Linked DNA regions of Styela clava. The protein of the gene in region 1 interacts with the protein of each later gene in a pairwise test. Links are inferred from orthologs where the notes say so. Each region holds a gene or a part of one and is shown on either strand. Other genes may lie near its edges.

Evidence for each region.
Region 2: the proteins of actin-related protein 10-like (region 1) and transcription factor BTF3 homolog 4-like interact in a two-hybrid assay, tested with the Drosophila melanogaster proteins (2 studies listed by BioGRID). The link is inferred for Styela clava from reciprocal best matches to the Drosophila melanogaster genes Arp10 and bic.

What each region holds. Positions count from the first base shown.
Region 1 is NC_135261.1:3,681,175-3,685,109, reverse strand, and holds the start of actin-related protein 10-like, read left to right. Parts: upstream 1-1,096; 5' UTR 1,097-1,210; coding exon 1,211-1,331; intron 1,332-3,935.
Region 2 is NC_135259.1:8,483,592-8,487,526, reverse strand, and holds the start of transcription factor BTF3 homolog 4-like, read right to left. Parts: upstream 2,960-3,935; 5' UTR 2,854-2,959; coding exon 2,800-2,853; intron 2,169-2,799; coding exon 2,055-2,168; intron 1,380-2,054; coding exon 1,271-1,379; intron 608-1,270; coding exon 570-607; intron 251-569; coding exon 148-250; intron 1-147.

The DNA.
Region 1 (3,935 bases):
TCACAAAACAACCGTTGTTATTCTAATCTGAGAGATTTTTACAGAGTGGTGTTCATACGATTTCAAGTGTTTTTAAATCTTCTGAAGATTTCACGTTTGTCCTCGCATTGTCGGACTCCTTCATATATTCCCACCGTCCACGTCACCCTTGCAGTAGATATACTGCCACATTGTTCCCATTGAGCGAATTAAATTGAATATACTGATTTTTAAAGTTGCTGAACGTTTCTGGTTGTGAGGTCGCGAATATCTGTAGTCTTTGATTTTATGAAAAATGGGGTCATGAAAAAAAAGTTTGGGAACCACTGAATTAGGTAGGCTACTTATATGGTGCGAGATAAACACATTGCCTAATGAACAGCTAAAACCATCGATAACAAATCGAATAAAAATATATCGCTTAATAAAAAGAAAAACTGCTGGTACAATCTTGAAAAGTTTTGAAAAGGTTGACTGTGAACTAAAGAATCATAGTGTCAAATGATTTTGGCATTTTAGTGGTCGCCCGTTGAGGGAGTTTTCGTGAACTTTCTCTGAGAAAATATTCTTCAAAAACACGCAGGCGAGTAGCACAGATACTTCAAGCTTGCGATTACATGCTTAATTTCAGTTTTTCAAAAGCGCCGTATACAATGAAACTATATTGCTTACCATGAGTATACCTAGCTTCACAATCCTGGAAAACGCATTTCAATGGCGGACAGCACCGGTACTTTGAGCTTGCGGTTTCAGGCTGGGTTCCGGCACTTCTTCCGACTTATGCGACACTAGACTTTCATATGGTTGAGTACATTTTCCTTTTCAAAGTTTTGGAGCTATATATCGTAACTACACGAGTTTCAAACGGCAAACTTACAGCGGCGACCTAACCACACGCATGGTCGAGGTCGCAAAGCGGGAAGGGACGAAAAGATAATTCAGGCAATGGTAAATACATTATTGCATCATAATCTGTTATTGGAATAATGGTGTAAAAATTGCGTCAATAAATTTTGGTTTGGGTAATATTGTCATTTGGAATAAATTCTAAAATGACTTATTAGCATTTGGGTGTAGTTTGAATGATATTCAGCAGCCTGATTAGATGTTGTTCGTTCATTGAATTTAGCCAAAATAGGCTCGTTAGCGCCCTCATAAACCATTCCACGTTCCAGTACCGTCGCTCGGGTTTTGCAGGTTTGTTTCGTTTGTATTTTCCAGTTTGTGCAAAATGCCACTTTACCAGACGCTTTTCGCCGTTGTTTTGGATATTGGACAAGCTTATACTAAAGTTGGATTTGCTGGCGAGTCATCTCCAAGAGCTATAATTCCCACGTCGCTAAAGACCGAAGGTACGTTAACAGTAGGGTGGCCATATTTCCAAATCCTAAAAGGAGGACACATCGTTTGGTACACCTGTGCCTGAGATATACGGTATACGTCATATATCTACCTAAATTCTCTAGTATTAAAAATAAAAGCGACAATAGACGATGTGACGACAATGCAATAATGCATTCTTGTCTTGTCAACGAGCAACTACGGGTACCAGGTACCGGTATAGCCGCAAGTACCGTAATGTACCGGTACCGTACTCCGCTTCGCTATCAGTTTTATCTTTTCTAAATCTAGCATGGATACTTGAGTCAAACATTTTGGTGTAAATCATTTATGATATGACGTAAAAGATAGGCTAATTGCAGTAACGATTTTTACATGATAAAGTATGCATTTAACCGAGCGCAGTGGTTCTTAAAGTCTTAACTTTTGCAGGTCTGCCAAACCCTGAGCGCTATTGTGCACGACCGAGGGCGCGAGCGAATTCAATTTTGCACGCCCAAAATTTGCAATTGCTCACCAATGAAAATCAGTATAAATGGTTTTTAAATCAATATTACAGTAATATAATGATGTCAACAAATTGTAGCTCCACAATTGTTGACTAGGGTGGTGTAGCCAGTCTGCGGACAATTTCATTCAAACCGCTATAAAACAAAAACCAATATTTCTAACCTGTTAATTTTTTCACAGTAGGTGCATGGGCATTTCTTCTACACGCTAAACCTCGAATTAACTTTCTACGACCAGGGGTTAAAGCTATACAAACCACCAAAGTACGACACTCTGAAGACCTATTTGCGACCGAACGACCAGTGTGCGACCACGGATTTCAAGCCTTGAACATCATTTCTGCTGCGTCAAGACTAGGGCATACGCAGCCATGCGTGAAAAAAATTAGCTTCTAATTGCATTTCTGACTGTCATATATTTTAAGAACAAGGTTATTTCGAACAAAACTCGTCAAATTATAAACAAAACACCGCATTACAGCAATCAAACGAACAAAAACACGGTGGTCGCAAATTGGTCGACAATGCTATTATCGACGTATTGGAAATGCGCACCCCCCTATTCCCCCTCCTTTGAATGTAGAAACGCGAAACTTCAAAGATGGTTAAAAGAAACAGAACTCTACCCACCTGCCAAGTTTCATCTTTTTATCTCTTAAATTTGTATGGATTTTCGAGCTTTTTCAAAGGGATAATGGGTAGTTGGCGACATGGAAAAATGGTCCGTTTTTTTTCTTCGGTCGGGTTTTCGGTCGTAACTTTTTTGTTTGTGGCCGCATTTTAATGTAATTTCGCAGAGCTACGAGGGATAAGTGGCTGATAACGCGTGAGAAATATCGTCTCGGTTCGTTATTTTTTTCGGCATTAATTTAATCGATGAAGTTGATGGTCGCAAATAGGTCTTGGCCGCAAAGTGGGTAAGCCACCCTACATACTAGCTTGCAAGATTTGGCCTGATCGAAAAATGCGAAGCAAGAAATCCACATTTCATAATTGCTTGGCGGTAAGGCCCATCGTGTTGAAGGAATCCCGTGAGACTAGTTATGGGCAAAAAGATCGCCAGACTCCTTGACGACGCTGGTCAATTACGGCTCTGATTCAGCGTATTGTTTATCCAATAATTTTACGCAAAAACACTCCCAACATTAATGTCAAAGTATAGAAATAATGTTTACGGGTCAAGGGTCAAATGCCCATTTTTGCTTTGATTCAACGTATTTTTTACATACATACATACATTCAACAAATTTTTATTCAATAATTTTACAAGGATGTACTGAACAGTACCAGTATCCAAAGTCGCACAAACACTCAAAATTAATGACAAAGTATAGAAACAAATTTTGGGGGTCAAAGGTCAAACGTCCCTTTTTGCTCTGATTCAACGTATTTTTTGTCCAATAATTTTACACAGATATATTGAGCAATCTGAAGTCAAATTCTGTTGCACGCGAGCGCAGTCTTTTTGCACGCAGGAATTTCTGATTGCTCGCCTGATTTCTCGTTCAAAAAGGCCATGAAATCCAGACTGGCCTATATAGTATCCCAACGCAATGTATTGCTTGTCATATGTGAATTGATAATTACAAGTTGCTATTTACGTTGAAATTTTCTTAACCCATCAAAAAATGTAGATTATGTCACAAGAGAATTTCAAATATTAAATTCCCTTGAAAAAGGAGGACATTTTGACCTTTTAGAGCAGGGATTCCCAAACCAGGGGTCGCGATCCCAAATTGGGTCGGGATGATAAATAGGTAGGGTCGCAAACAGGTCATGGGGTCGCTGAGCTATGGTAGAGGATGGATGTACAAAACATCTAAGATTTGAAAAACCATGTTAAATTTAGCAGTGTTTACCATGGCTTACTGTAAAACAGGCCAGGCCCATAGGCATCCCTCTATGCTTATGCTATAGAAAATGTACCGGTAGATGTTCATTGTGACATCACTGTTTGGTTTTAGCTTATTTTACTTAATACCACCACATGACCAAACTCAAAAGTCCAGTGAAAGGAGCTCGACTAAAGTTTCATAAAAAATATATATATTGACCTGAGGTCGCACTGGACACTTGAAAGTTGTCTTTGGGGTCGTCCTGAAAAAA
Region 2 (3,935 bases), on another chromosome or scaffold:
TTGAAGGACCTATAAGGAAAGAGTCTGATGGATTAAATAAATATACAAAAAAAGATTCAAAACTGTATACAAACGGAAATGGATGATATCACATTGAAGGGTTGCTTATGACTGCTTAGTCATATTTTTTAATGGAATAATTCATACCTGGAACGTCTTCCTCATCAATCTCTTCCGGGACAGCAGGCATACCCGTACCGTCCTGTTTTATAGGAGCGTTCTTTTTCAATGCATTCATACTTTCAGATCCCTGTGAGATAATTGGCAGCATTAAAGTTTGTATCATATTATATTTCATACTTAATAAAAAGCATTAATCTTAGAACAGACAAAAGATCTGTATTTTTTGAGGCATAATAAAAAATTACCACAGCAAAGGTATGAAAAAATAAATTATTAGAAAATTTACACACAACACAGTATCGTTAATGAAAAGCTAAATCTCTATACCTTAAATGAATGAAATTTGGTATTCAACATTTTCAGGAAAAAATGATTCTGAAATTTCAAATTGCTAATGTACTATTTGTGAGCACTTATTATATATAAAAATGAATAAAACAACATACCAGTTGGTTTAAAATTGTTGGTATCATCTCAGATAGTTCTATAATAAGAAAACGAAAAATTTATTAATTATACTTATAATTATCTGCATGGGAATCTAAAGAGCAATATCAGCAAGGCCACCTCATGCACATAATATTTATAGCATATATAAAATTAATTTTTATATAAAAATAGTTGATCAGTAGAAAGATCTAGATAGAAAACCGCTTATCTGTGATAAGAAAAGTAATCCCCTAGGCATCTCGTGCAATGTATGCCTCATACAATAATTAGGTAATGTACTTTCGCGTTACTTGCTAATGTTCAATTATAAAGTTCACTGAAGAGTTTGAGGGTCAGTTCAATATGCTTTTGACAGACAACAGGGTGAGGGATTTACAGTTACTTCTCGCTAACTCGATTGGGAAGCATTGCACAATTTTAATATGCCTGCATTGAACACTATTTGGTTACTAAGAGTTATAATTTAAATACAAAACGCCATTTTCTAGATGCACTGGCTGATAACTTTATTTTTATTATTATGACATTATCGATATGCAGTATACAGAGTCACAAAGTAGCCTATAACTTTTTCATGAAAAAAAATTCACATAACAAATGGAACGCCACATCCCTCTTTAAAATATCTAGGAATTGTAGTGTAATTTGAAACACTGCTTCCAAAGACAACATTATAAAGCAAACAAACATGTCTCACTTTTGTTCTCTCCATGTCCAGTGATGGCAAACATATTTGATGATGGTGCTGCTTGTACTTTTGGATTGTTGAAATGCAAAACCGTCCCATCATCCTTAATCATGTTGACCTGTTAATTAATGAAACACACATGAATATTATCTTGTGTTTTTCTATTTTCAATTCATGATAAACAATCAATAACCTAAATAATATTCCGGTTTTACAACTTATCAAACAGAAGAAAACAACAAAACAGAATTTACATATTTCATCCCGTGGGTAGGAAAGTCGATGAGACTGCTTAATCATATGGCAAACCATGCACCTCGTCCGGCTACCAGTCAATGTCTGTTATGGGATTAGTTAGCCAGTTATTTGTTTTTGTAAGCATGGACTTGATGGTGGAGGTAGCCGTAACCAACCAGTGATTCTGTCACCTTACGTGAACCACCCTACGGCGGCGATGAGTCCAGCAATCCTCTCACACATAACTATTCCCGCATGATATTCAAACCTGGGAACCCACGCAGGATAATCAGAGGTGCGGTGGCGAGCGTATTTCTTACACTTAGCATGATGTGCCAGACCGCCGAGCCAAAATCGTGTAACTATTTTGCTTTGCTGTGTTTGAAGCTAGTTGTGTATTTTGCACTATTCTCAGTAAGTAGTAAGTCTGGTTTTACACTTGTTTTCCGTGTTTTGCACAGTTTAGTACTGAGACTGAAATTTTCCAAACATCATATTACACATTTTCTAATTACAAATCTCGAGAAATTTTGGAGCCATATAGTGATGAACATACTTCTTCAATGCCTGGGATACTGTTTACTGACAATTTTTTCAGTGTTGCTTGTAATTTTTTATCATCTGCTGTTGCAGTTTTATGAATAACTTTTCGTTTCCTCCTTGCCGAACCCTGAAAAAGAATGTGATAAAATAAATTGAGGTAACAACGAATTATCGTCAATAGGCCACTATAAAGGATAGTACGAGTATATTTTGAAAAGGGGGGAATAATTAATTCTATTTAGAATAACAATTTATTAGAGGCTGTTGTTTAGTCAACAGATTTTGAGATTCCATAGATTATTAAAAAACGATGGATGTAGAATTCTGGTTTCAAGAATCATACGCCTCAAAACAATCTCATAAGTCTATACATGCCAGTGCCTGAGTCTGTGAGTGCAGCAATATATCTCACTTTCTTATTTTCCGTATAATACTCACGAATATGAGTAGGATATACAGATATACCTTGTGGGAAAACAAAAATGAGCCAAATGGAAAACCTGAAAAATGTATTTTCGAGACATGTAATACTGTAATAGGGCAGCAAAAACTGAGAAAGTAGGCCTAAAGAAGTAGCAGCAGCTGGAACTGAGAAACTGTTTGCTGTTGCAGTCCACTACTGTCCGACTATATGCTATAGTCTACCAGTATACTGTTACCACCCAATCCTGTAATTGTTTGATTAGTGTGATTAAATCACATTAATATAATCTAGCTCATTTCAGGTTAGAACAGCTGAGCGGACAGCTGAAACTCACCTTTCCGCCAATTCTGACGTCTTTTTGAAGTTGGGCCAGTCGTTCAGGATTCATTTTAATTTATATTTATTTAAATTGATGGATAAAAATTACTAAACAAAGAAGGATTTATTTTAAAAAGCAACTCGGACACCTGATCGAAGAACAAAGTTGGCAAATACAAAAATATAACTACACAAGAAAAGCATAAAAACTGCGAAAGGGGCCATGCTGCTAACTGAAAATCACGTTGAGTTTTTTGACCACTGGGAGCATACTTGAGTCGAAATTTTGTGATGCCTTACCAAACAAAATTAGCCCTCGATGAAATTAATGCTATAACAATTATAATAAAATTATTCAAGCATTAAAAATAAAATATGTTTTTTTGTTTGTTTGTGAGAGATTGTTCCCGTATATAGAGTGACATTCTACCAACCAAAGCTGCAGCTGTTTTCGTTATAGCCATTACTTGGAAACAGCATATAAGCGTTGCCAGAAGAGGGAGATCATAACATCTAAATTTGAAAATAAACCAAAATGCAAGTGAAATATATAAAATTAAGTATTAAAACATGTCAATAGAAACAGAGAGTAGTGAATGGATGTACAAAATATACGATTTTTTATTACATTTTACATGCTGTATATGATGTCGATTTATGTTGAATGAACAAATCTTTCTGGTCTGCCATATAAATAGCACAGATTCAGATTCAAAATTTATTTTCATCATGTAAGAGTCATAATAATATCAATAAAGATATTCCTATTTTTTTCTCCCTATTTTTTATTCTACGCATTCCGTGATATAACACGTAGAGAAGACTCGAGCTTTCATAATTTGTACAACATTCGAACATCCTGGCAATCCGATGAATTCCATAATATTATAACCATGCTTCGATATAGTAGAATTCATATTTTGCTGCAGTATCCTATATACTAGGATCAATCAACTGTACTAGATTCTGTGATTATGCAATGTAGTTTTATTTCAGCTGGATTTACCTTTTCAAAATCGTTGGCAATTACTAATACAGTAGTCAATAATCCGATTCCTGGGCCTCAGTTAACTCTTTTATCACTAACCATAGCTTTTGTCCCTTCATATTAAAAACCCAGAAGACCTTTGTATTTTCCTTCATACATAACCC